Linked DNA regions of Pelodiscus sinensis. The protein of the gene in region 1 purifies or fractionates together with the protein of each later gene. This does not show direct contact. Links are inferred from orthologs where the notes say so. Each region holds a gene or a part of one and is shown on either strand. Other genes may lie near its edges. The genes, in order: OTUB1, FOXM1, UBE2E3 and SLC7A11.

The links.
Region 2: the proteins of OTUB1 (region 1) and FOXM1 purify together in Homo sapiens (affinity purification with western blotting; 4 studies listed by BioGRID, with this or other methods). This does not show direct contact. The link is inferred for Pelodiscus sinensis from reciprocal best matches to the Homo sapiens genes OTUB1 and FOXM1.
Region 3: the proteins of OTUB1 (region 1) and UBE2E3 purify together in Homo sapiens (affinity purification with mass spectrometry; 3 studies listed by BioGRID and IntAct, counting the BioPlex papers as one, with this or other methods). This does not show direct contact. The link is inferred for Pelodiscus sinensis from reciprocal best matches to the Homo sapiens genes OTUB1 and UBE2E3.
Region 4: the proteins of OTUB1 (region 1) and SLC7A11 purify together in Homo sapiens (affinity purification with western blotting; 5 studies listed by BioGRID, with this or other methods). This does not show direct contact. The link is inferred for Pelodiscus sinensis from reciprocal best matches to the Homo sapiens genes OTUB1 and SLC7A11.

What each region holds. Positions count from the first base shown.
Region 1 is NC_134721.1:33,697,397-33,704,242, reverse strand, and holds the start of OTUB1 (ubiquitin thioesterase OTUB1), read left to right. Parts: upstream 1-3,843; 5' UTR 3,844-3,932; coding exon 3,933-3,987; intron 3,988-6,846. UniProt on the Homo sapiens protein: Hydrolase that can specifically remove 'Lys-48'-linked conjugated ubiquitin from proteins and plays an important regulatory role at the level of protein turnover by preventing degradation.
Region 2 is NC_134711.1:125,752,445-125,759,428, forward strand, and holds the start of FOXM1 (forkhead box protein M1), read right to left. Parts: upstream 3,023-6,984; 5' UTR 2,866-3,022; intron 1,009-2,865; 5' UTR 962-1,008; coding exon 412-961; intron 1-411. Other genes in the region: RHNO1 (RAD9, HUS1, RAD1-interacting nuclear orphan protein 1), read left to right, coding at 4,092-4,259. UniProt on the Homo sapiens protein: Transcription factor regulating the expression of cell cycle genes essential for DNA replication and mitosis. Plays a role in the control of cell proliferation. Also plays a role in DNA break repair, participating in the DNA damage checkpoint response.
Region 3 is NC_134717.1:48,106,406-48,113,251, forward strand, and holds the start of UBE2E3 (ubiquitin-conjugating enzyme E2 E3), read left to right. Parts: upstream 1-3,820; 5' UTR 3,821-4,015; coding exon 4,016-4,162; intron 4,163-4,288; exon of another isoform or gene 4,289-4,599; coding exon of another isoform or gene 4,600-4,659; intron 4,660-4,684; exon of another isoform or gene 4,685-4,829; intron 4,830-5,255; coding exon 5,256-5,458; intron 5,459-6,846. UniProt on the Homo sapiens protein: Accepts ubiquitin from the E1 complex and catalyzes its covalent attachment to other proteins. In vitro catalyzes 'Lys-11'- and 'Lys-48'-, as well as 'Lys-63'-linked polyubiquitination.
Region 4 is NC_134715.1:44,988,745-44,995,583, reverse strand, and holds the start of SLC7A11 (cystine/glutamate transporter), read right to left. Parts: upstream 3,012-6,839; 5' UTR 2,589-3,011; coding exon 2,312-2,588; intron 1-2,311. UniProt on the Homo sapiens protein: Heterodimer with SLC3A2, that functions as an antiporter by mediating the exchange of extracellular anionic L-cystine and intracellular L-glutamate across the cellular plasma membrane.

The DNA.
Region 1 (6,846 bases):
ATTCCTAACCTAAGAGGGGGCTAAGTTGGGCTTGGTGCTGGCTGAACTGATGCCCTGATGGTGTAATTATTCCTTTTGTCTCTAGCACTGCAGGCCAGTGTGTGGAAGAGACTATCCAAGTGGTCATGCCCTGCCCCGGATTCATCTTCTCTCGCTGCAGAGTGAACAAGTTGTGGCCCTGGCCTGTATCCCTTGCTCCCTCTGTCCTTGCTGATCTTTCCTTCCCAAATGCTTATCAGAAGAGATCCCATCCTGTCTGCATTCAGAAGTTTCCAGAGCTGTTCTTAGCCTCCCAGTTGCATACAAGCTGTAACCTCTGAAACAGCTGTGGAGCTAAATGTATCTATTTGGTTCAGAGCTACAGCCTTCCAAAACTGTCAGTGTTGCTCCCTTCTAGCTTTTATATCTCTGTACCTGAAATCTTTGCAAAACCATGTTTTATGTGACCTGTACTGAATTCTTAATAAAAGTCTTTAATAAAGGTCCAACATGGTGGTGGAAATTGTGTTGAGGAACTGGAGAAGCTGTGGTGTATTATCTTCTGAAAGGGGGGGGCCAAGAGGTGACTTGATCAGTCTAAGGCTGTCTACACTGCAAGGTTTTTGCACAAAAACCTGTGGAGCGTCCACACCTCAAATAAGCTTTTGCACAAGTAAATCAACAGTAAAACAGCAGAAGAGGGCTTTTTCTGGCGTAGGTAAACCTCATTCTATGAGGCATAATTCCTTTTTGCACTACAGCTATTGCGCAAAAAGGCAAGGGTGGATGCAAGAAGCCCCTATGGGGAAAAAGCACAGGTGCTCTGATGGCCATTCAGAGTTTTCTTGCACAAGAGCGTCCATGCAATGTGGATGCTCTCTTGCGCAAAAGCACATCGCTTTTGTGATGTGCTTTGAGGTGTGGACGTGCTCTTGCACCAGACATTTTTGCACAAAAAGCTTCTTGCGCAAGAAGCATGTAGTGTAGACTTAGCCGAAGTGAGTGTCTCCATGGGAAGAGATGTTGAGCTGACTAAAACTTCCTTTTAACCTCATTTGGAACAAAAAAAATGGAATTTTTGTTTAGGAAATAGTTAAATTATATTGTTGAAGAGCTTCCCTTTGTCTTATGGTTTATCCGTTGTTGCTTGGGTACTTAACTCTAAGTGTTCTCTTCCCCCCACCCCCCCTTCAGTTAATCATTGCTCTGGAGTGGAGGTAGAAATGAGGGGTTCAGTATGCCCTGGGAAGAGAGGATAACACAGCCTTCTCACAGCAGCAACTTGGGGCCAGGTGGAAAATGCTTGTTGATGGCAGCTGAAGCAGGCACAAGTGGGGGAGGGGTGCATGTCTTCCCCCCCTCCCATAGGGGACTGCTATAGTGTTTGTCTATCAATAGTTGTCCCTTTTTCCACCTCTGCCCCCTGCTGACATAATGGGGTTATAGATGTCCCAGTCTCCCTCTCTGGCTCCTTGCTGCCTCCTTGTAGTCATTCTGTAGTACAGTATAGTTCCCTCCCACCAGACCCCCCCCCCCTGTTTCTCATAAAATGGAAAAGATCTAATTCAATGCACATCCCGCTATCATGGCACAACCAAATCATGACCTTGCTTTCAGTTAAGAGAAAGCTACATATAAACTACAACCGAATTTTCTACCATTTAGGAGGAGTTCTTGGATGGATGGACAGATGCACATTTCTAAAATATATAGTATGATCTTATGCAGTAGAAACTTAGTTACACAAACAGTGGGAATGGAAATTGTTCATAACTATGAATGTTAAGATGGTTCTTTTAAAAGTTTACAACTGAACATTGACTTAATAGAGCCTTGAAACTTTACTATGCAGAAGATAAATGCTATGTTTAACTATCTTAATTTACATAAAATAGGCACAAGTTTCCTTACTTTAAAAAAAATCAATTAATGCACCATAGATACTAAAGATGCATCAAGGCATTTATTCAACTTTTCCACCCTTAAAGCCTGGTGATCTAGCCAGACCATTTGCAAGTTGTCTACCATTAGTGTCAATCTCCTTATACCCCCAGTCTGTGTGATGGCTGTAGAAATCTCTGATATAGACAGCTGGATGTGGCAGACTTGATAGAATCTGTTGGTTCCTGTTGACACTTGGCTGCTTGTAAATATTTGCCAGCCAGAAATTGCAGCCTGGATGGTGTCAAAGAATTAGTGGACATCAGCTAAATGGCATCTGCAGTGTCAGACTGAATGGCTGTGTCTAGACTGGCCAGTTTTTCCAGAAAATCAGATGCTTTTCCGGAAAAACTTGCCAGCTGTCTACACTGGCCGCTTGAATTTCCGCAAAAGCACTGACTTCCTACTGTAAGAAATCAGTGCTTTTTGCGGAAATACCATGCTGCTCCCATTTGGGCAAAAGTCCCTTTTGCGCAAAAGGGCCAGTGTAGACAGCTGAGATTTGTTTTGTGCAAAAAAGCCCCAATCGTGAAAATGGCGATCGAGGCTTTTTTGCGCAAAAGCGTGTCTAGATTGGCCATGGACGCTTTTCCACAAAAAGTGCTTTTGTGGAAAAGCGTCCGTGCCAATCTAGATGCTCTTTTCTGAAAATGCTTTTAACGGAAAACTTTTCCATTAAAAGCATTTCCGGAAAATCATGTCAGTCTAGATGTAGCCAATGTGTGTGGTTCAGCCATATTTCGGGTGGAGTCATGTGGCACAACAGGTTGCAGGCATCAAAACTGTAACACCCAGCTTTGGCCGTTGCTATTGTGTCTCTTGCAAGCAAATTATGTCAATAGTACATCAATGAGCAATAATGCTGAGTAAATCATATTTGGCAACTGATAAACCCTCCACTTTGAGTTGTAACATGCATAGAGCTGGTCCAATGACATAGAAATCACCCGGCTGAACATTGGGGTTGTTGGTGATTATAGTGCCGGTGTTCTTTGAGTGAGCGTTTATGGAATTTGGCTTACTGCTTGGACCATTAGCTTCCCTGACAATTGGCAGGTATTGGTGGGTGGCATGATGAGAATGCTGATCCATTGCCCTAGCGAGGCTGAAGGTGTATCATTCAGTGCTGGAATGATGGGCTGATGGAAGAAAGATACAATGTCATAATGAAGCAGGAGCCGAGGCTGGGTGAACCCATGATCTCATAACATGCAATAACCTCACAGTGAGATGTGACAGTCAGGTCAAGAGAGCCTGTTGTGATGTTGCATAATGATGTGATGGTGGGTTGACAATAGACTGCCATGATATCACATGATGACATCCTAGCAAAGTGCTATGCTAATGGTGGTAAATGCAAAGTGGTGTGGTGCCACATGAGGTTATAGCAACACAGCCTGTGGAAGGTGTATTAGGCTATTGCAATGTTGAATGATGATGTTATAAGAATGCAGTTATGGTGTTTTGTTGCAAGGTTGCTTTAATGGCATGAAGGTATGTTGTCATAAGGTCCTTTATGATGTCATGTGATTATATGACAAGGGCACAAGAATGGGGGTGATGCAAAGCTATTGTGATGTCACTGGAGGGTGTCCTTGGAATGTGACATGCTGATAGGGTGGATATGAAGCTGCTGTGGTGACACTGGAGGGTTCATAGCGACAGGCGATGGTGGATTGATGTGAGGCCCCTGAGGTTATGTGATGACATCACAATGGCACATCAATGATAGGTTGCATGAGGTCGCTATGGTGTCATAGCAACAGAAGAGAGGCTTGAGTGGGATGCTATGATGTAACACAATGACATCACCACACATGCCTACGTTGCATGGGGTGTCATACTGTTCCCATGGCTCGCCCACCCCTCCTTCCATCCCCACCAGTGGCCTAGCCTGGGCTTGTGCTGCTACGTGGGGGAAGGGTTTAGTGGCAGTTGCTGGGAGGAAGCGCTTCCGTCGTAGACCCGATGTGCCCCGGAAGCGCTTGCTGGGTGCGGGCTGCAGCTCCAAGATGGCGGCGGAGGACCCTCTGCAGAAGCCGGAGCCGCTGGGGGGGGACACGGATGGTAATGGGGGGAGGGGCGGCCGGGGAGCCCCCCAAAACGCACTGAGGGGAGAGGGGCGGCCCCGACCCCGGCAATACCCCCGACCCCAGCCCGAGGGAAGGCTCTGCCGCCCCCCGCGGGCCGGGACAAGGGCCCCCGGCCGAGAGCGGCCTTGCCCTGGAACAGAGGGCGGGGCAGGACGGCGCGGGGACCCCCTCGGAGAGAACCCCCCGCCCGATCCGCCGCCTCCTGACAGGCTCTGTCCCTCCCCAGGCCTGGCTTCCCCTCCCCCGGGTCAGGACCCCTCCCCCCTCAACCTCCACAGACAAGGTTCGCCCCGAATCCAGCGCCCAGCCCCCTACACGAAACTCCTTCCCTGGTTCTGCCTTCCTGCTGCTGCTAGCATCTCCATAGGAAACTCCTGCCCCAGGTCACCCCTTCCCAGAACTGGCTCCCCCGGGTTTTAGAGAGAAGATTTCTTCCCTTGACTCACTCACCTACCCTCCGCTCCCTCTTTTCTGTAGGACCCACATCCCCCCCCAGCCTTTCCCCAAGGGTCAAGACCCCCCCCTCACCCCCGCCTCTTCGCAAGGAGCTGCTCCCCTCTCTCCAAAGTCCAGAGAAAAGATTTCTTCCCAAATCCCAGACATGCTTCTCCACCATAGGAGACAGTTGCCTTGCCTTCTCTTTAGGAACTGCACCCTCCTCCTCCCACCGTTTCCAGCTTTCATCAAAGGCAATTCCTCCCCTTGCCTTCACACACACAAAGGATCTGCCTCCTCCCAATCCCTCCAGGAAAGTCCTCTCCTCACCCCAAATCTCAGGCAACCCCCCAGCACACAAGATCTTTCTCCTTTTCTGGAAGCTGCTCTCTGACCCCATGCACAATCAGCAAATTCCGCCTCCCCATACCTGATTTCCCCCCCTCCCATAATCCCCATGGAAAAGGTTACCCCAACTTCCTTCTTTTTCCAAGTATACAGGGATTCCTTCACACCCCAAAGGCAGGATTCTCCAGGAAGTGCTCTAAGGCCTACTGCTCCTCCTCCTGCACTGTGCATCAACCAGTTCTGCCCTGCTCCTGCAATGGTAGCAGTCAACCCACTCTACCCTCTTGAGGCAGGATCCAGCCCCATCTGTGCCTTGAGGCCTAGAGTTGTGGTTGCCCATATGATACAGGATTCCCCAATCTCTTTATAACCCATGCCATAGGCTGCCCTGTGCCATTGCATTCGAAGATGTGCCCCCCTCCAAACCTGGCAATGAGAATTCCCACCCACTCTGCTCATTCACTGGCTGTAGGCATCCCACCCACTGCAGCTCCTCTCAGGGACTGGATCGCTCTCTCTACCACCATTTCTATCGGGGATAAGATTCCACCATCTGTGCCTTGAGATCTAGAGTCTTGGCCCCTGCATTCCAACCTTCCTGCAGTTCATGTCAGCCCACTCCACCTCCCATTGGCAGGGATCATGCCCAGCCCAGCCCTGACTTCCATGGGAAGCAGGATCCTGGCCTGGCCCCCGAAGACATTCCCTCTATTGCATGTCTCTTATTACCATGTGATGAGGCTTAGGAAACTTGGTGTGGGTGGGTGAGGAAAAGAACCTTCAAACCAAATCATGTGTGGCAAGGGAGTCCTAAATCTCCCATTGGTGTGCCTGCCTCTTAACACAGCTCCTAGTACTGTCCAGTTACTTCCCTACCTCCCTGAAGCTCAGCACTCCACATTCCCCCACTCCCATCAAGCATCCCAGATGGTTTGGCTTAAAACCTTGCTTGGGTTATCCTTACCTGAGAGCAATAAATAATGTATTATTTGTTTAAAGGTGGGGGGGGGGGGGGGGACTGTTAGAAAAAGTTGCTCTGAATAACAAGGGGCATTTGGGATGCCTTGGGGGAAAAAACCAGACTTACCCTTTCCCCTCTTAATTGCAGTCTCTTCCCCTAGAATGTTATCAGTAGACACAGTTTAAATTCTTTGTTACAACATAAAAACTATTTTGGTTGAGCTGTCCCCAGTAGAGTCTGCTTGGTTCACATCAGTAGGAAAAGTTCTGGAATTTCTTCCAGGTGGTTCTGTTGATTAAAAAAGGGCCGTGGTCTGCCTGGATCTGCTCTGGGGAAGACTCTTGTAGAAAGTCTCAGTGGGATAGCTGTGTTAGTCTGTAACTTTAAAAACAACAAGTAGTACTGTGGCATCTTAGAGACTAAGGGTGCAGGACTTAACTCAAAATAAGCTATGCAAATTGAGCTACTTCAATTGCATAGCTTATTTTGAAATTGAGAGTTTCTACACAGCACTTATTTCTGAATAGAGCCCTCTTCCTCTGACTTCCCTTACTCCTCGTACAATGCGGGTTACAGGAGTCGGGAGTAAGAAGCCCTCCAGCTTGACTGTATTTCAACATTATTTTGAAATAACTGCCTGCTGTGTAGACGCAGACGAAGTTATTTTGAAATAGTGTTGCTGGGTAGACATACTCTAACACATTTATTAGGGTAAAATCCGCTTCATCAGATGAGTTGGAGTGGAAATTTCAGAATCTGGGGTATATATAACAGCAAAAGATGTTACCTGTCAATTGAAGGACCAATGTTAATGAATGAAGTCAGGATGGATGTGTCTCATTCACAGCATTTGATGTGGAGAGGCAAATATCAAAAGCAGGGAAGTTGCCTTTGTGGGATGTTAGCCAGTTAAGATCTTTATTCAAGCCTACGTTGACAGTGTTGAATTTGTAAATGAACTCCCAAGTTCAGCTGTCTCCCTCTGCAATCAGGTAATACAATTCTTTTCTAGAAGGATGGCAACTTTTAAATCCTTTATTGAATGTCCAGGGGAGGTAAAATAATCCCCTACAGGTTTATGTTTGTTAC
Region 2 (6,984 bases), on another chromosome or scaffold:
ACATTATGGGTCACATAGGCTTTTGTGGGCTAGCCTGGGCACCTAACCACCATTCAGAATATTGTTTCTGTGGGAAAATGCACTCTGAGTTTCAAATAACCAACTTACAAACTTTTCAAACACAACCCTTTCATAAGCTGGGGACTTTCTGTATACCAAAATCCTGACCTGTAACATACCTTACCAACTCTCAGAAAAACCCCAGGCCCTAAAATCACTGACTTTTACTTGGACTCAGGATTTGAACACCTATCAGCGTACATATAAACCTAATATATTAATCACCTGGGTTGCTTGAAATTTCACATTTTCACCACTGCGCTCTCCTATATCAAGCAGAGCATCAATCCCCCATCTCTACCCACTCCACATTGTGCTGAAGAGTTCAACAGAAGGGTACAGCCTACGTACTGTTTCCTTCCTGTTCTTGTCCTTCCATGGAATTGACTTGTGGATGCCACAGTACCGGCCTTTCCATAATCCCAGGGTTTTGTCCAATGTTCTTCTCTCCATCCTGACAATCTGCTGCTGTGGCTCCCTTTGTTGCTGTGCTTGTCTCATCATTTGATTGGAGCTTCTGCTGAGTTGCTGGTGAGCCTGTGGGGAGTGAGTTGCCCCCACTGCTGATGAGAATGAACTTGTTGGGCCCATTGCTGCCACATTCTTTCCCTTTGGCTGTCAGAGCCTCGATGATACTCTGAATGTCAGCATCGGGAGGGATGACTACCACCTGGGTGTTTGTCATGGTAGGGTGATTAATGATCTTTATTCCTGCTGGGAATTTCTGGGTGCTACCCTCCACTCTGTCCCTGGATTTGTCCTCTCTGACCTGCTCATGCTTGGGGGCTCCTTTACTTTGCCCATCTGGTTCATCTCTCGCTGGGGTGTTGGATGAATTGCGATTTGGGAGGGACAGTTTTCGTCTCTTGAGAATCAGAGGCCTGCGAGGGCTGGTCCTCATGATTGATCTGTACAGTCACTCGCCATTGAAGACTGCAAGAACAGACCCTGCAAAATATAAGAACATGAAAGAGGAGCTGTAAGCATGGAACGTACAGGAATGGAATGAATTATCTCTATGCAAGGTACCAAATCAGCTGATGTATGAGGGGTACAGTGGTAATCCTAAAAGAGGAAGATTCCTCACCATCTGTCTTGTGACTAGAGGACAATCCCTATGCCCATAGGGAAGAATTGCATGCCACATCCATTGAAGGGAAAGGTTCCTCCTTATTTATTGATACACATCTTGTGAAAACTCCATACAGATGAGGAGCACTAATTGCATGATAACTGAATATCTCAGATCACACCCGTGAGGTTAGTGTTATCATATTTGTTTTATAGAAACACCATAAACTCAGAGCTTGAAATAGATTTGTTAGAAGCCAAGCACTTCCTTTCTTAGCACTGTGTAACTCAATTCACCATCATCTAATGTCAGAATAAATTTCTTAATCTGGACTTTATGGATGGTAAACAATTTTAAAGTTTAGAACTAGGGGAATCAATGACAAAACCAGAAATAGGGATGTGGAGATAGGATAATTGTTGCATTTATGGGAGTTGTGGCAAGTGGTACTTTGCTCTTGCACAAGAAATCTTCAGTGGATCTACAGTGCTTGCATTATACAGATAACGTATGGGAGACTAAGAATTAACCAAAATGGAGAGGATTTCACATCATTGGAGCGGATTAGGGGTATTAAATATCAGTTAATTGAATAGTCGATTAACCTCATGAATTCTTATTGGTTACTTGACTATTCTATAGTCCCTAGGGGTGGGGCTGGCAACCAGTGCGCTCCAGCCCTACTCCAGAAGAACCTCCTGACACTCTGTGCTGCTGCCTGTGTATAAGAGACAGCAGCGTAGGGTACCAGGCAGGAGCTGGCCCGTGAGGGGAGCCAGTTTAAAAAACAGCTCCCCTCACAAACTGGCTGCCTGTCACCCCACAGCGTTGGGTGGCAGCAGCTCCTGTCCGGAAGGAGAGGGGTCCGAGTTCCTGGACCTGGCGTGAACCAGAACTGAGCCAGGTTAGCTGCCCACTTGGCTCTTAATACACTTTAAATGTAGAGCCACAGCAGGGGTAGATCCTTGATCTGGCACAAGGCAGGACGTAGGCTACTGGCCAGCCTGCTAAAAAATTTATTGGCAAGTGTTGGGGAGTGGGGGAGGGGGGGGGGAGGATGCGTGTAGTCTGTAGCATTAACAGACAAGCTTTTGCTTATCGGTTAATAGACTACACTATTACATCTTTAGAGCCAATCCAGCCTGTTAGTAACAAAACATCCTCAGAACCGATAATTTGTAGGGCCCTGCAAATCCACAGATATCTGCTTTCTATCCTCGGATATCCGCTTCCACAGATATGGTTGTGGATATCTGCTGCTCATTTTTACAGCTATGGATCCGTATTTTGTATCCGTGCAGTACCCTAGTCATTTGTACGGTCATAAAAGGGTACAAACAAAACTGACAGAAAAATAAACTAGCCCCCTTCCTAAGTGATAGAGGCAAGTGACACATCCAACCCTGGCCTCTGGAAGGAGGCGGCTTCACGGGACGCCCTGCAGCCACTGACAAAGGCCTCGCTGCATCCTGGCTGCGGGTGGTAGCTCTGCGCTGTCACACACACGCTGGGAATTCTCACCTGCTCTTTCCCCTGGCCCCAGCCCCTTCCCCCATCCATCTCCCCACAGGCTCTCCGGCTCCTAGAGCCCCCAGCCCGTGTTTTCACCCCTTCGCCCTGCCCCCCATGGCCCGCCGGTGCCCACCGACCCCCTTTCCCTTCCTAGTGGCCCCTATCAGTCTCCCCGCCCCGGCCCCGCTCCCGCAGCAAGGCCCCTCCCAGCCCGCTCTCACCCCGGTGTCGGTGGGGGCAGGGGGTCGCGCGCCCCGCTGCCTCCCCGCGGGGACCCGGCACCGCCGGGCTCCGCAGCTCTCAGGGCACAGAGGCAGTTCGTTTCGTTTCCCGGTTTGAATTTGGCGCCTGGCGGCCCGTTGGCATCACGTGCGAGGGCGGGACCAATGGAGATGAGGCCTGGGGCCAGAGCGTTCCATCCGGCAACGGAAGTGGCCAATGAGCGCCCGCGCCCGGCGGTGCTCGCACACGCCTGACCCCTGGCAGGAGCTGGGATCAGACCCGAGGCCGGTTCAACCCCCCCACCCGGCTCCCTGCGCGGAGCAGCGTCCGCGGGGGCGGGGGCGCGGCCGTAGGAGGCGGCGGCGGCGGCGTTTGTCTCGGGGCTCTGCCCCCGCTCTCAAACGGTGGCCCCTGAGCGCCTTTGCCGCTGCCCTCCCCGCCGCACCTGCTCTGTGCTCCTGGGCCTGCCGCCCGCCCCGCCGCTGCAGCTTGGAGCAACCGGCCAGCCAGTGATGGCGGAGTAGCCGCCGTGTGCGAGAGACAGCCAGCCCCGGAGCAGCCGGGCGGGCGGCGTGTGCGTTCAGCTGCCGGGCTGTGCGCGAGAGAAAAGTGCCCAGGAGTTACTGGATGCCTGGGGTAGGGCATAGCGAGAGCACCGCGTATGTGTGTGTACACGCCTGTAGATAAGTAGAGCAGCGGACCCCAAACTTAGCAGGGTCGTTACCTCCTCCTCCCCTGTCTGCACCCTCCAGCTGGTGCGGCTGTGTGGACTAGGTAACCGGAAAGGGCCACGGCTAGGGATGGTGGAGCAGCATTATGTCAGTTCCACCTTGCTGATGTCGTTTAGTGAGGATCTTCCCAGGAGCAAGACATGACTGGATATACTCAATAGGGAGGACACCCCAAAAACCCAAGACCATGGGGAGAGGCACCCACTACAGACTATATCTTGTGTAACACCAAGAAAGCTCTGATTGTGTCCCTAATGGGAGTATGGCTGAGTGGATGTATATAAAAATGTATATTTCCATTTTTTATTAGACTTTTTTGGAGGCAGATCAGAAGTGTGTTCTATGTAGGAAAAAACAGTTGCTAGGTTTGACGACTTGACATCCCTCTGTTGCTTTCTGCAGATTTGGGTACAGTTTGTCATCTCTTTCCTCTTCTCCCTAACTGGCTCCACCAGGCATCATGAGGTTTCATAGCGACTTTCTTACCCTTTTTGATGCCTCCAAAGAAGAAATGCATCCACCAGGCTCACAAGACACAACTGCGATTCCTTGAAACTCCAATAGAGGGGCCTACACATCACTATGGATCTCCATTGCCTTTGGCTGAGAACCCAAGACGTGTTTCTACCAAACCTCTTGACCAAAATGCTTCCGTCTCATGGGTAGGTGCAGGTTTGTTTTCCTTAGTTTCTTATAGTAAGTGTTCTCAGCCTTCTTATGCATATCTTAATAAAGAATTGTTTGGAGTGGATCTTGGACATGGATTACACACACACTCCCCCCCCCCCCCCCGCCTGGTTACAGTGTTACAGTTGCTTCAGATCCCAATCTAGCAGTCACAAGCAGCCTGAGATGTATTTTAAATTAGCGCACTCACATCTAAATGGGAAATGGTGGCCACTGGCAGAGTTCCCTGTCTTGGGAACTAGCATGGTGGCATGAAAAGGTTGGGATCCATATGAGATGGGGATTCTTTTTGGCTTTTATGATAACTGAAAACCTTGGAAATGGATAGTAGAATAGTTACTGTTTAGTTACTCTTTATTGGATTTGATATTTAAACTACAGCAATTATTTCAAACTGTTTGGTATAACTCTCAACTCTCCAGCACTTAAATGTGACAACTTCCTGCTCAACTATGATACAGAAATAGAGTCTGCATCTTAATTGTGGTTCTCTTATTTAATATTCATGTATTAATAATCTCAATTTTGTAAGTTTGCCTATCTATGGTCACCCCCCAATGGAGTTAAATGTGGGTTAAAATGGATGTTATATCTTGTAATGTATATAGTTAAAAGGTGGAATACTTGATGTAAAATGATGAGGCCTACTTCCACAGATGCAGTGTGATAAGGAGCAGGTGTCTTCCCTTAGTTAAGCTTGTTGGTGAGAAATGCAGTTTCAAAAAGCCAGTGTATTGCTTGGAAACAAACAAGTATATGCCTGAGGTCAGTGGGAGTCTGTTGGAAGATCAAGCCTAAGGAGTGGATGTGTTTGTTTTCAGAGGCTTTAGCAGAACTACATAGACTACAAACCAAGAATCAACAGCAAGAAAAATGGTACTACTGAGAGAGTTGTATTTTCTAAAAAAATTTAAAATTGTGTTCACTTTTCACTGCTCATGTACTTTATTGATGTCTTGCATTTCATTCCTGATTGGACAATGCTGGTCAGTTTTACTGTTACACTTCATTTAGGTCAGTGCTCTTTTTGTGTGTGTGGTGGGGGGGGGAGTTGTCAACACCCCAATGAGCTCTTTAAAGAAACATGTTTTCATTGATAACAAATCTCAACTATTTGTTTTTCTGTTACATATTGTTAATGTAATATTACTTGGTTTCAATCAAAAGAAAATGTTGGGCCTGAAGTAAACCAGCAAATAGATCATCTCTTCTGGAAAGCAGGGTGATAATGCAGGCTACAAGCAGACACTATGGCGAAGATATCCAGGCAGCAGATTTTTGAAGCAGTTTTCTATGTACTTTAACCCTGCCCTCCTTTTCATTTTTGTGTGTGTTAAATCTTCTGCTTTTCCTAACACAACTCTTCCAATAGACTCAAATCTTGTTGAGAGGACTGCTAAGTTTCTTTTCACTCAGTCCTAGGATACTTTATTATGATATGCACATTTGCTTAAAAAATCTTGTAATTGTTCTGTAGGAGCTACCTGTCTTTGCAGAAGCCATTACCAGGCAGCTCTGTTAAATAACAACACTTAGGTCTCAAAGCTTTATAACAAAGCAGCCCTAAAAGATTTCAAACTTTAATGAGGAGTCCTGTGGTACCTTAAATGCTAACAGATTTATTTGGGCATCTTGTTCATTTGCAGCTGACAAAGTGGTTTTTACCCATGAAAGCTTATGCCCAAATAAATCTGTTGGTAAGGTGCCACAGGACACCACCTTGTTTTTGCAGATACAGCCTAACATGGCTACCCCTTTAAAACTCATATGAAACACTCCACCAGCCCCAGAGATCTAGATTTCTCTGTTTGATTTTAAATTTATTTTTGTATTTTTAATAGAGCATTTTAAACTCCATGAGTAAAACAGTTCCTGAGAGAAGACAGAATCCATTTCCATCTGGAACGATGGAAAATTTCCCAATGTAGACAAGGACTTATTTGGATTAGAGATGTTAAATGAAGATTAATTGGCTAATCAAATAGTCAATGCAAATTGCATCGACTATTCGATTAGTTGCTTAGGGCACCTCTGCCTTTGCTACACTTCAAAGGTGAAAGTGCTGTGGGGAGCTCAGGGCCAGCAGGGGACTCAAGTAGTCCCATGTTGGGCCTGTGCTTCCTGCGACGTTTCAAAGCGTCAGCGCCACAGGGAGCCCAGGCTCAGCGGGGGAGTTTCCTGCTGGCCCCAGTCTACACATGGCATTCCAAAGTGGCAGTGCTGCATGGAGCGCAGGGTCTGGTTCCGGGCTCCATATGGTGCTGCCACTTTGAAGCACCCCCACCTCTTTCCCCTCCCCTTGCTGCCTCTTTCTGATAGAGGCAGCAGAGGGCTTGAGGGAGGGGGGGCAACTTGTCAACTAGTCGTTCACATCCCTAATTAGGATATGCCTGAGAAATAGTCTGTTAATAACTAGTGTCAATTACAGGGTTAACTGCAATTCTGGGCTCCTCCTGGTCTCTTTGGGTACACTGCTACTCAGGTCTTAAACCTCAGCCTATCACCTCTCTTGAGATGGAATGGAGATGGAAGAATTTTCCCTTAGACTGGTCCCTGGATAGCCACTCTCTGTAACCTTGGATCTGACTTGCATTCAGTACTTGCAGTTTTTCTCCTTCTGGGGATCAGTGTCAGTGGTATCCAGTGATCAAGTAGCATTTTAAAATTATTATTATGAACAAAAGCATTTCAGAGAAAATA
Region 3 (6,846 bases), on another chromosome or scaffold:
GAAAGGGTTCCGAAAAGGGCAACTAAAATGATCAGGGGTTTGGAACAGGTCCCATATGAAGAGAGGCTAAAGAGACTGGGACTTTTCAGCTTAGAAAAGAGGAGACTGAGGGGGGATAGGATAGAGGTCTATAAAATCATGAGTGGTGTGGAGAGGGTGCATAAAGAAATGTTCTTCATTAGTTCCCATAATAGAAGGACTAGAGGACACCAAATGAAATGAATGGGTAGCAGGCTTCAAACTAATAACAGAAAGTTCTTCTTCTCAAAGAAAATAGTCAACCTGTGGAACTCCTTGCTGCAGGAGGCTGTGAAGGCTAGAACTAGAACAGAGTTTAAAGAGAAGTTAGATAAATTCATGGAGGTTGGGTCCATGGAGTGCTATTAGCCAGGGGGGTAGAAATGGTGTCCCTGGCCTCTGTTTGTGGAAGGCTGGAGATGGATGGCACAAGACAAATGGCTTGGTCATTGTCTTCGGTCCATCCCCTCCAGGGTAGCTGGTGTTGGTCGCTGTCAGCAGACAGGCTACTGGACTAGATGGACCTTTGGTCTGACCCAGTACATCCATTCCTATGTTCTTATGTTCTAAGCTCAGGGCTCAGGGTTGGGGGTCTCACTGGACCATGATTTTCATGCAAACCTGCTCCTGGGTGGCCAGGCTGGCAGCTATCCTGCCCTACACAACCACTTTCCTGTGCCTAATGCGGAGGTCGTGGACGTTGGACGCCTCCCCCCAAACCTGGATGAGGTCCACGATCTCTGCACTAGACCAGGCGGGCGCCCGCCTCTTGGTCTGGGCTGCTGGCTGGGTGCTGGCAGGCTTGCAACTGGCACGAGCACCGTAGCCAGACCGTGCCCTTTTAAGGGCTCCTGGGCCGGGTGGGTGGCAGACAAGTTTCCCTGGTTGTGCCCAGAGTGGCCACCAGGGCAAGCTCGGAAGGGCTAGCCTCCCACTAGTTCAAATTAAGTGGCTACACAGCCCTTAATTTGAACTAAATTCGAACTAGGTGTTAGTCCTCGTAGAATGAGGTTTACCTAGTTCGAATTAAGCACTCCGCTAGTTCGAATTAAGTACAAACTAGCGATTTGCCTGTGTAGCGCTTATGAAAGTTAATTTGAACTTACGGCTGTTAGTTTGAATTAACGTTGTAGTGTAGACATACCCTAGGAGACTACGGGTCTGTCTCCCAGAGCCTCTTGGAGTTTAGTATCCTGTTCCAGTATAGGCTGTAGCTCATTGATAATGTGTTGGGGGCTGTAGGTGATGACAAGTGGTGTTCTATTGTTGGTTTTCTTGGGTCTGTCTTGAAGTAGATGGTTTCTAGGTATTCGTCTCGCTCTTTCAATTTGCTTTTTTATTTTTCCAGGTGGGTAGTTGAGGTTTATAAATGCTTGGTAGAGATCCTGAAGTTTCTGGTCTCTGTCAGTGGGATTAGAGCAGATGCGGTTGTATCGAAGGGCTTGGCTATAGACAATGGATCGTATGGTGTGTTCTGGATGGGAGCTGGAGACATGTAAGTAACTGTATGAGTCGGTGGGTTTTCTGTAGAAAGTGGTGTCTAATTTTCCATTGGTGATTTGTACTGTGGTGTCCAGGAAATGGATCTCTTCTGTAAAATGGTCCAGGCTGAGATTGATGGTGCAGTGTAGGTTGTTAAAATCTCTGTGGAATGTCTCCAGTGTTTCTTGGCCATGCGTCCAGATCATAAAGATGTCATCGATGTAGCGTAAGTAGAGAAGGGGTTAAAGGGGATGGGAGTTGAGGAAATGTTGTTCTGAGTCAGCCACAAAGTTATTAGCGTACTGTGGGGCCATGCGTGTACCCATGGCTGTGCTGCTGATCTGGAGGTATAAGTTGTTCCCAAATGGAAGTAATTGTGGGTGAGAACAGAGTTACATAGGTCTGCTGTCAGATTGGCAGTGGTGTCCTCTGGGATAGTATTTCTAATTGCTTGTAATCTGTCTTCATGTGGGATGTTGGTGTATAGAACTTCTACGTCCATGGTGGCAAGGATGGTGTTATTGGGGAGGTTATCAATGTTTTGTATTTTCCTTAGGAAGTCAGTAGTATCTCGGAGATAGCTGGGGGTGTTGGTTGCGTGGGGTTTGAGAAGAGAGTCTACATAGCTGGATAAACTAGTAGTGAGTGTGCCGATACCTGAGATGATGGGATGTCCGGAGTATCCAGGTTTTATGGATTTTGGGAAGCAAATAGAACAATCCTGGTCGGGGGTCAGAAGGTGTTTCTGTGTGGATTTGTTCCTGAGTAGCTGTAGGGAGGCTTTTAAGGAGACAGTGTAGTTTCTTTTGGTATTCCGAGGTGGGATCAGAGGAGAGAGGTTTGTAAAATGTGGTGTTGGAGAGTTGTCTGGTTGCCTCCTGGTTTAAAGTTTAAACAAAGACATTAATTATCTTACCCATTACAAAGATAGCTTCCCCAATTATCACCTCTAATATCATTAGCTCACAGACATTCACCTTCCCCCTCCTCCCCATCCCTGTTCTGTTCTGAAATTTGATTTGTCCTTTTCATATGTCTTTATTTTTTTAAATTGTATCCTTTGGTATATATGATTGTGACAATTTTCTTCCACTATTTGATCTGAGGAAGTGGGTCTAGCCCACGAAAGCTCATCACCTAATAAACCATCTTGTTAGTCTTTAAAGTGCTACATAGTCCCGTTTTTTGTTTCAGCTACACCAGACTAACGGCTACATTTCTATCTCTCTAAAAATGTTTTTCCTGACGGGTGACAGAATGATGTTATCACACTCTCACGTTCTTGGGCCATGGAAGCGGACTGAGAGGGGCTTGGTAAGTGAAGCAAACACAAGGAGCAGCCCCCTAGTTATTATTTATTTATTATTATTATTATTACTAGTGATAGTAAGATAGTAGCAGCACTTCTTGTCTATTTTGATGGCACAGATTCTGGGTATGTGGCCATTATTTGTCAGAATTGAGACTGATCTACATGCCAGATCAGTTTCTATCGGACATCAAGATCTGGAATTTTAAGAGTGGCTAAACATCTTTTCTATTTATGCATTTTTAATTTCAGGCCTGGGGGTCCAAAAATTGGCTAGGTTCAGAAGGATCTGGATATTTGAGGTGATCTTGTGCTGGGGCACATGAATGAGGGCCCAGATTTTGCTTGTGCAGCAAGAAAGGTTGAACATGTTACCCACTGAGGAGTGGGATTTGGTGCTGGGACAAAAACTGGCAGGATTCAACTTTCACTCATAATCGCTATGCTGTATGTTAAGGCACTCACAACCCAACTCAGCCACGACCAGTGCCCAGATTAAGTATATTTACTCCTGAGTGACCACCCTTATGGACAGCAGTAAGAAGAGACAGAAAGAATGGGCAAAAGCAGAGCTACTTTCAAATCAGTTTCCTTGCTTTGGCTATGCCCCAGCAGGCTTTTGCACACTTGTGCATGGCACTGAAGTAATTTCAGGATCTCAGGCTCCCCCTCCCGTAGTGACTGCTCCAGAGTTGCAAGCTTGCGAGAAAGGTATTTGTATGGGAGGAGGGGGGAGGCAGGAGAGAAACCAGCCACTAGTAAGACACAAGCAAAGGCCAAGCGACCAACCTGGGGGGTGCACAGGGACCAACTCTTTGTCCTTGGCCAGCACGGGAGAACGCACGCACCCTGCAAAGGTAGAAGAGCGAGAGAGCGTGCGCGTGCCCCAGCCGGGGGGGCGGGGGGGTGTTACCAGTCAGGGAGCGAGCGCCCTCTCCCCCCGCCCTCATGTCGTTTGGAACTTTGCTGACTGCAACATTCTGAATCCGAACGTAGCGACACAAGGGGGCGGAGGCGATAGAACGCTCGGCTCTTCTCTTCCATCCGGCGCCCTTCCCCCGAGGGGAAGATCGCGTTCTCTCTCCTCTTACCCCCTGCCCCACCGTGGGAGCCCGCTTTGCAAAAAGGGGACACGCCAGCACCACCCTAAGGCCATCAAGCCGCACTGCATCCTCCCCCCGTCTCTCCCCCCTGCTCCGACTCTCAATGTTCCACACTGCCCGGCCACAGAGCCTCCTCTGCTGCTTTATATCCCCCCGGCTTCCTCCAGCCCCTCCACAGATACCATATCCCCTTCCCTTCCCCCCTCCATCCCTCCCCTCCGACCTAACACCGGGACAGGACGCCTGCAAGGTAAAGGAGAAGCGGGTTAGGTGGCTGCAGCAGGAGCCTGGGCGAGCTTGGTGGGGGGAGGAGGAGAAGGAGGAGGCGGGGGGGGGGGGAGGTTGGTAGAGGGAGCTTTGTTCTTGTTTTCAGCGCTTGCTGCCTGTCGGTGGCCGGGAGAGAGAGGAGCCGGGACTGAGTTCACGCCTCACTTGGTGCACACATACCATGCTGATCCTGGAGAGCCTCCTACCATAACAACCCCTCCATACCCTCCTCGCTGGGAGCTCGATCTCGCCCCACAAAGCCAGCCCGAGCAGGGGGGAGGGGGGGCGGGGGCGAGTGTGTGTGCAAAGCTGCATTTCAACCCTACTGCAGTTTCCTACTAGGAGCTTCATTTTCTTTTTCAGCACCCCTCCTCCAATTTGGGTGCCTCCCGCGTGTGTCTATATATTTTTCCCCTAAAAATGTCGGTGTGTTTTGTAGAAACTGATCAAGAATCGGTGGCGTTGAAAGCTTTGCAGAAGGTGCAGTTTTAATTATGCTTCTTCCCCCTCCAGCAGCTTTGTGGTAGCAAAATGCAATTCTTGCTGCTGGTCATGTAAATAACCGAGGCTTCTGCTTTCTGGGTTGTTTTAAATGTATAGTGTTTTTTAAACACCTCCTCCTCACGGCCCTTTAAATACAAAGCGACAGAGTGAGTGTAAATTTCAATCTGAAATCAGTTGGAGTGTTGTTACTGTCAATATATTGTCTCAGAGAGGGGGGTAATTTGGCTGCTCGGACCTAATAAAATGCTCTGCTCCAGTGTAAATATTTGCAGGGTATTAGTGACTTTTTAAACAACATTTTTAGCAAGGTCTGTTATTTACAATGTGTCATAAGTTATTAATGTTCATTGCTTGCAGGACCCTTCTAAAACCCCTGTCCCATGGCTTTGAACAAAGTAAACAATTGATATATTGTCTAAAGTATGAAAAAATGTAGCTGGGCTTTAAAAAACTGGAGCTTTCTATATTTAAAAAGTGTAAATATTACTTTGTAACTGTCAAACTGCAACCTAAAGTGAACTCTGCTTTTCTATTCTTCCCACCCCCTTTTCCTTTGTCCCTCTTTCCCAAAGTTCACCACGATGTCCAGTGATAGGCAAAGGTCAGATGATGAAAGTCCAAGTACCAGCAGTGGTAGTTCAGATGCAGATCAAAGGGACCCACCAGCACCAGAACCTGAAGAACAAGAAGAAAGGAAACCTTCTGCAACCCAGCAGAAGAAAAATACCAAACTATCCAGCAAAACTACTGCTAAGTTATCTACTAGTGCTAAAAGGTAATAACTATAAGAGTGACTGAGAGACATATTTGCACTATATTTTTAATGCAGATGAAAGCTGTGTTAGGGAGTCATTTACTGAATTACAAACTTTTTTGAGTTATGAGATTTTCATTCAATAGCTTCAATAATGATACTGTCAGTAAGCTAACCTTTAAATAAGCTTCTCACATTTCTTTGGGAGAGATGCTTAAGAACATTATAACTTGTAAAATGAAAATACTGGCTTCTAAAAGCTTTTATTCACCAATATGAATTTTATCCTTGCAAGTAATATAAGAATTAGAAACATCGTTTCCACCTGCGTTCAAAAGATTAGCCTTTTCTTTCTTGGTAGAGTACCATCCTTAGGGTATATTTCGATAGATTGTGTGTACTGTTCACACAATCAGTTTTATTGAATATAAAAATATTTATAAAAATGTTATTGGCACAGAAATAGATGGGTTTGTACTTATAACTTTGTTTGCATGCCAACATACAGTACATCCTTTATGCATCCTAATATAACATGTTATTCTGCAAAAATAACCAACTTCAGTGGGACATTTGCTTCACTAGGGCCTGGAAAATCACTCTGGAGATGAATATATCCCCTCTATATTTAAGTGTCAAAAGCTTCACAAACCTCTTGTAGTCTATTTGATAAAATGTCTGTATTTACAATGTATGTTAGACTGGCTTTCAGTAGGTATACACGGAAGCGTTTTTTTAACTTCAGCCATGTGAAACAGGCAGACTTTTAATCCTTTCATATGCAAGGGTCTTCTGAGATGAAACAATTTGCTAAACCTTACATTCATTTTTTTTTTAGGAATACATATTACATTATAGCCAATAGCAAATAGATCTGAAAAGTAACAGTGGAAAAACATATTTTAACTTTAGAGTCAGTTCTCTACTGCACAACTATGTGTTTTGCTTATTCAGCATGGCTCAAACTTTTATAAAGACCTGAGAGAGGAGTTGGTATTCCAGTTCCCTGAATGTTAAAGCATTAGCCATACAGTAAATACTACCTATTTTCCACTGATTTTGTACTTGTAAAGAAATAGAGCTCCAAAATAATAGTATCTAAGTTAGATACTTTAAATTAGTCCTGCTCTATCAGTGAAATGGGTCAACCTAGCTCCATTGCTCAGGTGCCAGACTGTGAAAATTTCTGCACCATGTGACTTTGTTAGGTCAGCAGGAGAACTTCTCCATCTCCTTAGCTACCTCTTCTTGAGGAGATCGATTTACTGCACTGACAGATACCCTTATTTTGTCACTGTGGTAAGAGTGTATACTTGCCACGCTGCAATGGTACCATTTGTAGTGTGGGCATCCCTCAGAAAAGAAGCTAAAGTGTTATATTATTTTTATAACTTGCAGTATGTTATGTT
Region 4 (6,839 bases), on another chromosome or scaffold:
GAGCTGTGAATCCCATCACAGCTTGAAATGTAGATGTACCCCAATTCCAGTGACTAGGAAATACCATTGATTCAGTCTCTGCTGAGATTACAAGGGCCTAGACACTGTTTACTAGTGCTGAGGCATGTAGATGGAGCAATGTCAGGAAACGTGTAGTCAGGACTTCATGCTATTGGATGGTAAATGTGTTGTTTACAAAGCCTAGCAACCCACCCCCAAAATCAGGTTGTTCACTGCTTGCATGTTACTGCATTTCTTCCTCGCTCTGGGAAGCTTCTATATTTCCTTAAAAGAACAGCTGACTTCACATTTCCCTAGTAAGAGGAATCCTTCATTCTTCGATGTATTTATACAGGTTGAAATAAAAAGAAAACCAGTGTTTTGTTATTATTTTAGGAGGTCTGCTCCCTCAAAAAAAGTGATTTGGTCCACTGTGAAGGGACTGTAAGAGAAATCTACAACACCATGACAACCCCCAGAAAGCTCCCAGAGGCTGCCACATGCACAATATGCATTCTCAGCCTTTATGGAGCAAACAACAACTTGCACTAAATATCCTTAGCCATGTGCCATCCCTCCATTCTTTATATCTGTTGGCATGTTTAATAGGCCTTCACACATTTGAAAAGCCAACAGATTCTCAGTTCCATGTATGGACAGCATCAGTCAATGAGAGATTTATCAGCATTAACAAATACAGTCAACCTGTCCATTAGTGTGCACACAGTATTTAAGAAGCCTTTGGGAACCAATGGTAAAGTGATATGGTACATAGTATTATGAGTAGTAGTACATATGGAGTTATCAATTATGTGTTTCCTAATTAATTAATGTGAAAAAGAACAATATATATAGTACCTTAAATGTCCAGTGTGATGTGGTGACATGCATACATCTGATATAGCTATTGCAATGCAAAAAAAAATGCCACATTATATACAATTTCAGAGATGGATTTGTAATTTAAAGAGCTTCTGCTCTGTTCTTTTTCTAACAGCAGTGCATTCAAGCATATGTTTTAATGACAACTACTAGGCATATCTCATTTGGTAAACTTTTTTTCAGATTATTTAGGGTACCTGATAATCTATTTACAGTCACATTTAAGAAACCAATTGACAGATTTTTCTTTTCTTGCCAAGCACATCTGGACAGATGCAATACACAATCGCTTTGAGGTAACTACTGTATTGTTGCCATACATGTTTCACAGACACCTTTACTGATTAAACAGGTGATCTTTCCATAAGATTTTACCACAATATATAGTGTAGGAGAAGTCTCCATAATTTACTACATTTTAATGTCTAGCTCATAAAATGCATAACTAAATTAAATTATATAGTGCTATGTTGAGGCAAGTTCTATATTTAAATTTAATCTAAAGGCCAACGTCTCATAACTAGATTCCAAGTTATGTATCAGCTTTCACTTCAATTTTGGAAGAGGGTTTCAGTCTAAGGTGGAAACTCCAAAGTTCTACCATTTTTGGTGCATTGGCATAAAAAAAATAGTTCAGTTTCTGTTCAAAATTGATCTTTTATTCATCTATGTTTAGGGCCTTAATGTTCCTTCTTAACAGATGATGCCTCTTAAGTCCACAGAGAGTTTACACAGGATCACATTTACAGGGCTTAAGCCCTGTTTTACTCAGTAATTGCCATCAAGACCACCTGCCAGGAAACAAGGAGTCTGCCAGAAAAAATGGCAGTAATCAAAACCCCTCAGTATGTGTTAACTGCAAAGGTCCATAACTTTTTGTGACATGTTTTTCCATAGAGATATCGTGAGTTGGCGAATAAAGTGAAAAAAGAATAACTAAGTTCTTTCTCACTTACTCACTTGCTTGCTAATAAAAAATTTATCCAGCAGGAATTATTCAATTCAGAGCTTACTCTAGTCAGTGGGGTACTGGATCAAGCTATCTATACATTTCACAGGTGTTCAGACTGACTGGCCCACATCCCCAACTGCCAGCACCTTGCAAGAATGTTGTAAACTGGCCGTTACGGCTGGAACAAAAAGTCATAAATAAAACAAAGGATTGTTCCTTCTCCCGTTACTGAAAGAAACATTATTTCATCTTATAATAGTTATAAAAAGGTACAACAGGGTATTGTCTCACATTGCTTGTAAAGATATAAGACTGAATGCGCAGTTCTATATGCCATTTACAGACACTATTAAGTAACAAACCATATCTGTAGCCTTATTGGTCCTCATATATCAGATTGGTCTGTGATATTCAATAGCAGGGGGAAAAATTCACCAGCTGCCCCCCAGGATCAATTATAAACTTTCACCAACTTACCAAACATGGAAAGGACACCACACACTGTCCAGACAATCAAGGACATTCCCACACTGCCTGTGTTCTTTAGTATCCCTTTGGGAGAGATGAAGATTCCTGCTCCAATGATAGTGCCAATTATAATGGAAACCCCTCTTAAAAAAGTTACTTTCTTCTTCAGCACCACTTTTTCTTCCTGGGATGGCTTTTTACTGTCCAGAGAGGGCAACCTGCCAATAGATTGCCCCTGCAAATAGCTTCCATTAGAGACTGTGGAGAGAGCAGGTTTCCTGAACATGCTATAATGCCACCAACACAATTAAAAACAAAATAAAAAAGTTTCTAGCTAGCACCCAAGGTTTCTTCCTGGATCTTTGTGCTCTCTTTCTAATTGCTTTCACTCTTTCTCCTTTTTGTTACTTTTCAAGCTGCTGCTGCACCCAGGTATAACACTCTGAAGGTGTATTTTAAAATTCCCTGCTGTATAAATACTACTTAGTAACACCTGTCCTTTCACGTTGTTAGCTGGTGCTGCTCTCTCATTGGAAACCAGCTCAGCTTCCGCATGGACTTGTATTTAAGCTCCTGTCATACTAAGTTAGTCCTGCTGAATGATGATGCAAATTCTCCAGGTTTGCATCAGCCACAAGAAAAGGCTCTGGCATTACTCAGCATTTTCAGATGGTAACAGCATGTTGCACAACTGATTTGAGCTTCTTAGGAAGAACAAAGCTCTCACTTGAAAGGAAGCTTAACGAATCAGAAGGTAGTATATTACTGTCAACACCTCCCCCCCCCCCAGATATATTTAAAGCAACTTGTAGTTTGACACAAAAGCCTGTTTTTAAAACACAAAGATCTTTAGCCAGAAGGAAAAGAAAATCAAACAGAATGCGTCACATTTGGTTCTATTCCAATTTTTTTCCGACTCCTTTTAAGCTAACAAAGGTTTTGTGAGTTTCAACTTTTATTTCTGAGTTCTTTAGTTTTCCCCAAATCTATCCATTACATGTAAATTTACATCAAGACTACATACCTTTACATAAAGATTACATATAAGCCATTTGCTATCTTGTGTTGCCTAGCAACAGCCAAATCAGACTAGTAAAAATCCACTGTACAGTAATTCTCACATGTAACAGAGTTTCTGGGATGTTTGTAAGAAACTCAAAAATGAAAATACTCCTTCAAGCCAGGTAAGCCCTCTTGTTAACAATCACAGCAAATTCTTTCAAGATATGAGAGCAAGAGGTCTGCATTTCAGAGCACTGATTTGTCATGTAATAATGTCTCAAAGCAGAAACGTTATCTGATTTTCATGTCACCATAGTGTCTTCCTGAGTGGATTAACTAATCTGTGCTTAGATGAATTACTTGATTGCTAACTCAGCTACATCGCTTTTTTATATTTTGATTTAAAATCAAGTAACAATTTAAAAAAATCAGCTTCCACTAAAAAATCAGTAGTTCTTGAGCACTTACAACCTCATCTTGGGACAGCCGGTACAGTATATGCCACAGGAAAAAAAAATCCTATGTAGCAAAACTATCACAGCTGCTCATGGCTTTGGGGTCAATCAGCATAATGAGAAGTAGTTATTGCCTTGCATGTTCCTTTTGCAGTTATTGCTTCATTAGCTCTGAATAAGAGGAAAAAGATACTAGCTAAACGTTTTGTCATTTCAGAAGGCGGCACTGAGCTCTAAGCACAACTTCTGTGCTTTTAAGTGTATCTCAGACACAGTAAATATTAGAGCATCATAGCAGTGATGTTTATGGTGCTGCAGTAAAAGCTGAGTCAATGTTTTTAAAACCTCATATTTTCAGGGGTTATGACTTGCCTATAATAATTTGCAGAGTGATAAAACTAGGCATAAAAAGCCTGGCTGTTTTTAACATACAGAGAAACAAACAAAAATAGTTTTTTAGCATTGGATATATATTTGTAATGCTATAATATTTTTAAAGGGCTTATTCCTTCCTTCACACCCCTCCATCATGTATTCAACAGCAACTCATTTTATTTCTCTTCTGTTTTATACTTCTCATCAGCACATCACTGGGTAAGAGAATATTGCTTTCTATTAATGCATGAGGTAGAGGAATTCCTACAGAATAATTCATTATGGTCCCTCTACTAGCCATACATGCAACTCTACCAGCAATTGAAGCAAGTGACTTGAACTACAAGCCAAGCCAGATCAAAGAACTAGCCACTAACCTGTGCTGGCTTGAATACTTAAATTTAAAGGGGCTGTATACTGAACAATCACAAGGAGAGCTGGTCAGGAAATATTTAACAAAATGATTTTCAGCCAGAGCATATCATTTTACCAAAACTGAAACTTTCCTAGGGAATGTGTCAGTTTCAATGACACTTTTGTGAAGAATTGGTTTCCCAAGTCCAAAGTGGAATGTCTGGTCTAAATGAGAGAGAGAAAAAGCAGCCTAGAATAGCTAAGAGTCTGATGACTGGGAAAGTCACCTAAGATGTGGAAGACCTAGGCTACATCTACTCTGCAGCTCTTTCCGGGTATACTGGAGGTATTCCAGAAAAGCTATGCCGCGTCTAAGCAACGTATCAGCTTTTAAAAAAAAAAAATCGGAAAAGCCAACACGTTCTTTCACCATCCCTATAAACCTCATTGTATGAGAAAGAAGGGATGTGCTGAAAGAGGAGGTTTTTCCAAAATCTGGCACGTGTAGATGCGCTAAATTTCAGAAAAGCCTCTTCCAAAAGAAAAACAAACCCCTGCCAAAGAAGCATTACACTGAAAATGTATTGAACAAAAATCAACTATAAATGTTGCATGTATTTGGCATGTCATTTCATGCAGTGTACGAAAGGGTGCTAAATTCTGGGCTTTTATAGTAACAACAACCTCGTGTAGGTACACATACTTCAGACTGGCCAATCAGACTGATTGGTTTAGATTTATTTTTAATTAAGCGTTCTGGTGCTTTTCTATTTTTCTTTTCCAAATCCTTCACTTTTGAAGACTTTCCAGTAACAGCATTTATAACTTTTATTAGATTCTGAGTTTCCCAAATGCTTATATCAGCATTTTGGGGTTATTAGAGCCAGAGAGATTTAGAGTAATTTATGGGATGAAAGTCAGCAAGTATGGCACACAGCCAGCCCCAGAGTAGAGGAGTATTTGAAGGAGTCTTAAAATCATGTTTCCATGCCTTCCCTGTCCAGTATATTCCTTAGCTGCAGCTGAGACTCTCCGACACTCTGTTCTTATATGTCCATACCTCACCTGCTACATTTTGAGGGCTCTTGTAATATAAACAATAACTAACAACAGCACCTCAGTGAGGACACAGAAGGTGAAGTTTGATTTTGAGTCTCTAAATTGGTCCAAGAAACAACCTGAGGGAATCAGGACAAGGCAGTGTTTCTTTGTCAATTTCGTTCACATACTTCCCAAATTGTAGAGTCCAAATTTCATTTTATATTTTTTTTTACACAATAACAAGATAGAGATGTCTCTTACTGCCCTGACTCTTGCCAGTTACATGATCTATAATTGAAGGAAGTACTTTTATATCATACTTCTGTCTCACTATCTGTACCGGCCTAGTGCATGTCCTAGGGAGGTCATATCTACTGGCATCCTGCAGGGGTCAATGCTGGGTTTGGTACTGTTCAATATCTTCATTAATTACCTTAATAATGGAATGGAGAATATGCTTATAAAATTTGCAGATGATACCAAATTGTACTTTGTAGGGCAGGATTAGAATTCAAAATGGCCTAGACAAATTGGAGAATCAGTCTGGGAGCAAGATGAAGTTCAGTAAAACAAGTGTAAATACTACAAGTGTAAAATACTTCCCTTTAGGAAGGAAAAAACAAATGCTCAACTGCAAATGTGGAATAATTGATAATACTACAAAAAAGGATCAGGGGATATAGTGGTTTACAAAATGGGTATGAACCAACAATGTGATGTAATTTAAAAAAAGACTAATATTATTCTGAGGTGCATTAACAGGAGTGTCAGAAGAAAGATATGGAAGGTAACCATCCTGTTCTACTCAGCACTAGTGAGACCTTTGGGCAGTACTATGTTCCGTTCTGGGAACTGCATGAGAAGAAAGATGTGGTCAAATTGGACAGAATCAAAATGATAAAAGGTTAAAAAACCTAACCTATGAAGAAAGATTTAAAAAATTGGGTAAGTTCAGCCTCATAAGCATTTCAACTCATACATAATACACATCTTTAAGAATATCTAAAAATCCTGAAATGTGAATCAAGTACTACTGTTGGACACCAATTTTTCTGGAAGTCTGGGTACTGCAAACTTCTTTTTCTAAATGTCCATGCCATGTACTCATACTGGGGCCACTATATGCCTATAAATAGTTCATGGTTCACCACCCCTCTGACGCCTCCTGCTGGACATTCTGGGAATTAGCTCCATCATTCTTTGGGATGGCCCCAGTTGGTGGTGCTTCACCACTGTCTCCCCCCACTGTCTTCACTGCCTCCACTATCTTGGCCCATGGCATTACTGAACCACAGAGTCCCCCCTGAGTA